Oryzias latipes: one gene and its partner. The protein of the gene in region 1 binds, or shares a complex with, the protein of each later gene. Links are inferred from orthologs where the notes say so. Each region holds a gene or a part of one and is shown on either strand. Other genes may lie near its edges.

What was found.
Region 2: the proteins of ube2o (region 1) and nap1l1 are in contact, whole or in part, in a cryo-EM structure (PDB 7UN6), measured with the Homo sapiens proteins. The link is inferred for Oryzias latipes from reciprocal best matches to the Homo sapiens genes UBE2O and NAP1L1. Residues at the interface, in NP_071349.3 of Homo sapiens: Ser225, Asn226, Val282, Lys283, Pro284, Val285, Lys289, Ser290, Lys291, Phe292, Arg293; in NP_001317160.1 of Homo sapiens: Arg333, Arg337, Thr343, Gly344, Glu345, Ala346, Ile347, Asp349.

Annotation. Positions count from the first base shown.
Region 1 is NC_019859.2:3,061,114-3,064,931, reverse strand, and holds part of ube2o ((E3-independent) E2 ubiquitin-conjugating enzyme), read left to right. Parts: intron 1-3,057; coding exon 3,058-3,117; intron 3,118-3,497; coding exon 3,498-3,608; intron 3,609-3,818. UniProt on the Homo sapiens protein: E2/E3 hybrid ubiquitin-protein ligase that displays both E2 and E3 ligase activities and mediates monoubiquitination of target proteins. Negatively regulates TRAF6-mediated NF-kappa-B activation independently of its E2 activity.
Region 2 is NC_019881.2:10,002,182-10,005,999, forward strand, and holds part of nap1l1 (nucleosome assembly protein 1-like 1), read right to left. Parts: intron 1,807-3,818; coding exon 1,704-1,806; intron 342-1,703; coding exon 200-341; intron 55-199; coding exon 1-54. UniProt on the Homo sapiens protein: Histone chaperone that plays a role in the nuclear import of H2A-H2B and nucleosome assembly.

The DNA of each region.
Region 1 (3,818 bases):
GATATATCTATCTATAAATATATCTATATCTATATATATATATATATATAGATAGATAGATAGATAGAGATATATAGAGATATATCCATCATCTCCATTTGTTGTAAATGATTAAAACTGAATATCCATTGTGACCACATCTTCAAAAATTGTCATCAATCCAGATTTTTTTAATTATTTTTTAGCGAAGCTATAATCTGACCAATCAGATGCCTTACTTAAAGGGGGTGGAGCCTGCTGCCCCTCTTTGTCCGACGCTCAAAAACGCTGGATAGAATTTGTGCTGCCTGCTTTAAAGTGGTAGGGACGTGGCCTTCTAACAAGCTCACTCCTGATTGGCGAGAGTGGTTGCCATAGAAACACTGACTCGGACCAATCACGGCTTACCGACGTCGTCTGGCTCCAACATGTCCGTTTTGTGAAATTTGGTTGGAGCTGGAAGAAGGCAATTTTCTATGGATGACGTCACTCTTGATCGCTAACATGCAGGAGGCCCGGCTCCTCTGATTGGTCCTCTGATCGGTCACATGAGCAGCAGTAACATTACACTTCAGGGTTTGTTGACCAACAACAACACGAGATTGACGGAACAGAATCATGGCGAGCAGAAAGAGGAGTTCTGATAATTAAGGAATGATTGGTTCCTGCTGTCTCTGTGGGTGGAGTTTCCTTCTTTGTGTTTGTAATCAGGAGTGTGTGTGTGATGTGTTAATTGTGTATCCTCACCTGCTGGTTTTTACCCTCAGATCTGTGTTTTTTTTTTTAAGGTAAACACAAATGTGGAGCCGTGCAAAGAGGCGTGGCTTCATGCTGCAGCTCTCGGTTCCTCTTCCTCGTTGGTGCTGCTCCTGAATTAAAACTTGTTAATTGGGCCTGGATGTCAAAGCAAACACTGTCCTCCATCGATTTTGTGGAATCAATCCGGGCTCTTCTTCACAGAGGAGCGGCCAAGGTCGGACGCCCCCGCTGCCGTTAGACCCCCTCCCTGTACGCTGTGTGAGAGCCATAGCAACGGTTGGCGTGACGTGTTGGTTAGTTATCGGCATAAACGTTGCATGTTTGGCTTGTTCAAAGTGGCGTTGAAGGCGTCCGTGTGTCAGAAACTGTGGTTTTGAAGAGGTTCATAAATCTCTGCAGCTGGCATGCAGAGATTTATGAACCTCTGTGCAGCAGCGGTGCAGAGAGTTTGGAGGCTTCATGGAGCCTGAAGTGAGCATGGAGAAACAAAGGGATGCTTTTCGTCTGTAGTTGTCTTCCTGTTGCTCGCCATCCAGATCCACGGCGTCTCTGTGTGCAGCAGGCGGCCGCGGTGGGCGTTAAAGTCGACTTTGACATCCCTGCTGAAGCTCCCTGTCGTGAAAAACTGTAACCAAAAGAGAGGGATGCATTCGGAATCGAACCGTCTGACCATTGGAAAGACCATGACTGCAGGATTTAACAGACTCTGGCAAGAATAGAAGCTTTTCTGTTCAGAAAGTACCAAAGAAAAAAACAGAGGAGATCTACATGAACTTTGGCTGGTTTAACTTCTAATAATGAAGGATTTTTTTGTGTGTTAACTTGGAAGAAGACACAAAAAGTTTAATTTTCTTGAAGTTTTGGTTAAAACCAAAGTATGTGTTTTTGTCAGCTTTTGTTGGAATATACTTCAAAAGATCAACATTTTTCGTCCATCACTTTGGTAGAAAGATTTTAAACCAGGTAGGGCTTCACGATATGAAGAAAAATCGCGATATGCGATATTACAGATTAATATTGCGATAACGGTATAATTTGCGGTTTACTGTATAAACAAATAACAATATAACCAAAATCATAATTTCCATTTCATTGCAACAGTTTAAAAATTATACTCCAAATGACGTCAACATAGGAGACAAACATCTAACATAATAGGCCTCCATCTGATTGGTCAAATGCATAAAGGGATTTATTTGATTCGTTAAATGCTTCAAGCTGCCATAAGGTTGTGTTAACACATTTAAGGTTTACGATTTATTGCGATTTTCACTGTCTTTTGCGATATGCGTATTGCATGGCTGGATATTGCGATAACGATAAATTTGCGGTGTATTGTGCAGGCCTAAAACCAGGTGAATGCCTGACTTTTTTTTTTTTTTTGCTGCAGCGTCTCACCTTTTTTGTCTTTTCTCTGATCCGCTTCACAGCATTAATTAAACAAAAACACACAGTTTTACTCCTTTAACCCTTGTGCTATCCTAGGCACTTTAACATTGGGAGTTGGGTCATCTAGACCCACTAGATGGGTGTCCATGGATTACATGAAATCTTTCCACCTTTGTCATGGTAGGGAGAACACGTCAATGGTCATCTTGACCCCATAGGATAGCACACGGGTTAATTGCCTTTTGTTCACACTTTGTTTGGATTCATTACATCGTTTTATTTTAACAGCAGTTTAGCTTTAATCCCTTAAACTCTTTCTATTCAGATCTAAAACGGGTCGACGGAGCTTCACGAACGGCCAGAGCTATTTATCAGTTTTGTCGCTTTTAAACATGGATTTTAAGAGGGAAAGGTTCTACTTGAAGGCTCTATGTGGTACATAGAGGAACCTCCTTTTTTCTCCTAAAAAAACATATTGTGAGAAAGTCTTCATGGGTACTTTATCTCTTTTATAAAAGCCCGACTGTTCCAGGGTTTCAGGCTCTGAAGACGCCTTAAAGGTCGGATGTTCAGCATTTTGCTGGTCAGTGGTCCAGAACTCATCATTTGAGTTGGTTTTTTTATGTCAGCAGCATCCGGTTCAGGGGAACCGGCCCGGCCGTCCTCCTGGGAGCCGAGTTTAGGCCAACATCTTCTGGTTTCTGTCCTCCAGCTTCTGCTGCAGCTGAAAAATGCTCCGTTTCACAGAAAGATTCTCATTTCAATGACGTGATGAATAATTAAAAAGAAAGGGGGGGAAAAAAAGATGTTTATCGACTCGTCAGTGTTGATTAAACATCTTCCTCTTTTGTAAGGAGATGAAGCTGTTGAACTGTGGAGGAAAACCCGAATCTTCCAGCTTCGTTCATGTCTGTGTTTCATGTTTTCCAGCTGAAACTGGAGGATCGGTCACTCGTCATCAGAGACATCGTGAGGCGGAATAATTCCAATGTAAGTGCCATCTCTCCTGATCTTCTTTTCTCCTGTTCTTCTCTAGTTTTAATAGTTTTTTATATAAAGACAATAAGCAGTCTAAGTGAAAGTCCTTGAAGATGTGGCATCTAAAACTTTGTTTTGTTCTAGTTCATTGCTATTATTTAGTCTTTAGGTTTTAATAAATGCCTGTTATACACGTTTACCAGGTGAATAAGTGGGTGGGGCCTAATCAGTGGACCAATCAGAGGAAAAAACGTTTTTTTTCTGGGAGGTTAGGAGCAATTTGAGCTTCATTTTCCTGTCGTTCTGTGAAGGAAAGCCTCCTCTATTCTGTGTTTTGGGATCGAACTGTTATACATGTTTCTGTGTTGACGTGTGTCTGTGTTGCTCCACAGGACAACCAGTGCGGCATCGTGACCAACATCGACATCGAGTGTGCGGTCAAACTGGTGGGCACGAGCTGCATCCTGTATCCAGTCAACAGCAAAGAGCTGCAGCACATCTGGGTGAGTCCAGGGACTGTTTCTCCATCTCTAAATCTGAACTTTAGATGATAAATGATTTCCCTGAGAGCAGATTTGACACTACAGGTATAGAAGACCTCGATGTCTAACCCTCTTTAGATCCTCAAACCATAGTGACCAGCCTCAGATGAACAGTTTCAATGACATTGTAATCTCTTATTTCTTTTCTTTTTATTGTGAAACACAAGCAGA
Region 2 (3,818 bases), on another chromosome or scaffold:
CCATTCACACTCCTCATCTGTGGGCTCATATGCTGCTCTCACTATGTCGCTTCTCTGTGCAGTAAAACAAAGTCTCAGCAAAATTTCCAGAAGAACATCACAGACTCTCTGAATGAGCTCATAACTGCTGTCCTGTCCCAGAGGCTCCATGCGGGAGGCTGCTGTAGACCAAAGTCCAGCAGATGCAGAGGGGACTTACTTTGTCAAACAGAGGCTGGTACAGAGCCGCATATTTTCTCTCCAGTTCGTGAACTTCTTCATAGAACTTGGCCTCGATGTGAGCGCATTTGACCTGGAGGTTCTTGAGGGCATTGACGCGTCTCTTCACAACCTTTGGTAAACTGTGGAGACAGACGGAAAGGTCCTGAAGCATTCCTGTCAGTAATCCAGCATGACTCGTTCCGATTCCTCTTTAGACTTCAGGACCAAATTGCTACTCGTTTTCTGGGAAATTCTGGATTTCTTTGGAGACATTTTCAAAACCATTTTTACACTTGGAGATCACAAAGTCCTCTAATACTAACTTGAAAAACTAAACTGCCGGACCTTGAAAGTAATCAGTGACTTTGCGTCTTTTTGGTCTTCATGACACAGATTTCACTTCCAAGCCATCACCTGTCCATCTGCTTCTTCACAGGGAAGTTTTACTTGTCAGCAGGTGAATGACACTTACCTCCCTGCCAACAGTAACACAGCATAGCACAACACCAAACAGACCAGATTTTGGAGTCCGTTGGTCTACTCCTCACTACCCTCTGTTCCAAAGCTTTTCTATAAAAGACTTCAGGGATTTCAGAGGTGAAGCTCTTCCCACAGCTTTAAAGTGACAGTGTCTCTGAGGAAGGAGCAGAACATCCTCCTGAGCAGACGAGTCCTTCACTCTTCTAGTGCCAACCTTTGGTGTGGAGCTCTTAAACCAAAAAACTCTGGTTCAAAGAGGAGCGATGAAGCTCAGTAGCCATCAGCTTGTTAATCTGCTTCCAAACACTCCAGAAGCTTACCCATCAGTATCAAACATCAGAAGAAGGGAAATTGTGAAATCTGCACCATCTGACTGCATGCTGGCAGAGGCTGAACATCTTGAATTTCAGACGGCATTACAGTTCCTTCACAGAATACAAACGGAGAGCAAGGAGCTTAATTATTTTTTACTCCCGCATAATCCCAGCCCAAAAGAAAATGAAAGGAGTTCTGCAGACCAGCTGCAAAACCAAGAGTTCAAGGAAGCGACACATCTGCATGTCAGCCCGACATACAGGATTTATTTCAGACAAAGATTTTCTGATTACAAACTCAAACGAGCCTTCATAATAATTCAGTTTAGCACAGACTCGAGGAACAGCACACTTCTTAGACCTGGGACTCGACAGCGGAAGATTCCATCATCACAGACTGCTACTGAACAGAGCAGATCAGGGGAGACGCTGGAGGAAACCTTCAGAACCTGCAGCTGTCTGCGGTGTCATTTGGAAACACAGAGCTGCACAGAAAGCAGTAGGCTCCACCAGACAGAGTCTTCTTAACTGGATGAATACAGAAATTATCAGCAAAAAAGGGAGTCCAGTTTAAACCCAACTGAAGGCAAAGTCCAAACCACTTTAGCCAAGATTTTCTTTTCAGCAGAGCAAACAGGATTTTTCAATGTATCCACCAAACAAGATTCATCTACTGTGGATGCCGATATGCTGACTTTCCTCACTCACCTCTCCATGTAGCCTGATGGGGAGCCGTTCAGACCGTCCAGCCTCTCCTGTAGAGCTGCTAGGATCTGTGGGTTCTGCATCATCTGCACTGTGAGCTGACGAGCTGCAAACAGCAGAAAAGCTCCTCAGATGAATGAAACCAATGTGCAGACACGCTCAGTAGCTGCAGTTACATGTGCAAAATGTGTCTGTTAGGATCAAAGATCAGATTAATATTGAACCGTGTACATGGGCCCAGAAAAAACGTAATCAGATTATATCAAAGGTTTATATACGCCACACTTTCGGATGGGGAAAAAAAAAAAAATCATAACACGCGCAGAACCATCTAAAATACCAGAAACAGCCATAGAAGAAGAAATAGTGAATTTTGTTGTAAAAAAAACAAACAAAGCTGCAGCATAGAGGAAGATTATCTAAATGTGCTTTTATGATTGTTAAAATTATTATTAAGTGTCTGTTCGCCCATAATTTTCTAAATACGTGCGGCCAGTGCTTTATGACTAAAGAGAATCTGCCGTGTTTGATAGAAATTTAGCACAGCTGTTTATTTCAGATACAGAAGATGAGGACTTTGATGGATGACTTTTGGATGCTGATTGATGACAGAAAAAACAAAAAAGAAAAATCACAAGCAACCCAGTTTTGCTACCGCTGCCTTTTTTGTAATAGACACTTGCATACAGGAAAAAAAAACACCCATAACTGAAACTGGGCCCTTTAATCCAGTGCTGTTTTATTGTAAGGAGAAGAGTGTGTTATTGGAAATAATATGGCTTTCATTGTTTGTTTGTGTGTGTATGTCTTGGCAGGTAAGTGCATGGTGTGGCTCTTTGACCAGAGTCACATGACCAACAACCTGATGCAGATTGTGCTTCTTGGTAGGAACTGGCTGCCTTGGTCACTGCACAGATGATGAGCGCTAGTACTGTGGCAGAAATTTGAACTCATCAGCTGTCAAAGTATTGTTTACATCCGTTGCCATGTTTTTGAATGATGCGTGAATTGGTTTGTTTCAATAGTTTTGCGCATATGTGTCATGGAAACGCAGCTCATGATGCCTTCATGAAGATAATGATGTTGGTCAAAACAGAACTACAGAAGATGTGCTGCTAGCTTCATTAGTATCGTGAGCTTTAAGAGTCTCTTCCAGGACAACCCCTCAGGACCTGTGAAAGTACAAACCATCAAAGGTTCCTTTTCAAGCAGTTCTGATTCATCCTTCATTTGGATGGAGGTGCAGAGTTGACAGGCTTCTTCTATAAACAAGCCCCAGCTGGGCTCTGTGCCTTAGCACATCTGTACGGTTTCTTTATCATGCCTGACAACTTAAGGCCCGTACACACCGGGACGAATATTCGCCAGGCGTTATTCGCCAGCGTTTTTCGCCACGTTTTTTGTGTTCACACCCAGGCGATTTTCGCTGACGATGAGTGGAGTGAACATGCAATTTCATTCCCTGACATTAGATGGCGTTTAATGTAAACAGAAATACTCCTGTACACAAGGTGGCGCTGCGCAACTTTACGCTTCTTAAAGTCGCTTTTCACTCAGAAGAAGAGAGCAAGTATTTACACGCTTGTCAGAATAATACAAAGAAAACATGAATATTTCAAGCATCAGTAGCTCCAACTGGTGCTTGGTTCGGGGATATTTTAGAATGTCCGTCATTATTTCTTCGCGGCAGTGTAGACGCTACTTGGCGTCTATCTTCTTCGCTGGTATGTGTGCTCAGCAAGGCAGTTTTGTGTTTGAGCGCCCCCAAGTTGTGTTTTACTGTAACTTCAGAAGCTCCAGACACGTGAGCAAAAGCGCCGTTCTCATTGGTCGAGTAGATTTCGACGCGACGCGTCGAAAAAAAAAAACGAACCCGAGGCGTTTTTTTTTTTTGACGCTTTAACGCCTGGCGTTTTTTCGCGTCGGTGTGCACACTCTCATTGGTGCCCTTTGTTTAGTCACGAGGCGTTAAACGTCGGCGAAAATCGCCGGCGAAATTCGTCCCGGTGTGAACAGGCCTTTAAATGAAGCTCCTGCGCTTCCCTGAGAGCACAAACAGCAGAAGAGGACTCAATTATTCCATGAATCCTGCAGGAGAGCTGCAGAGGTTCTCCCTGA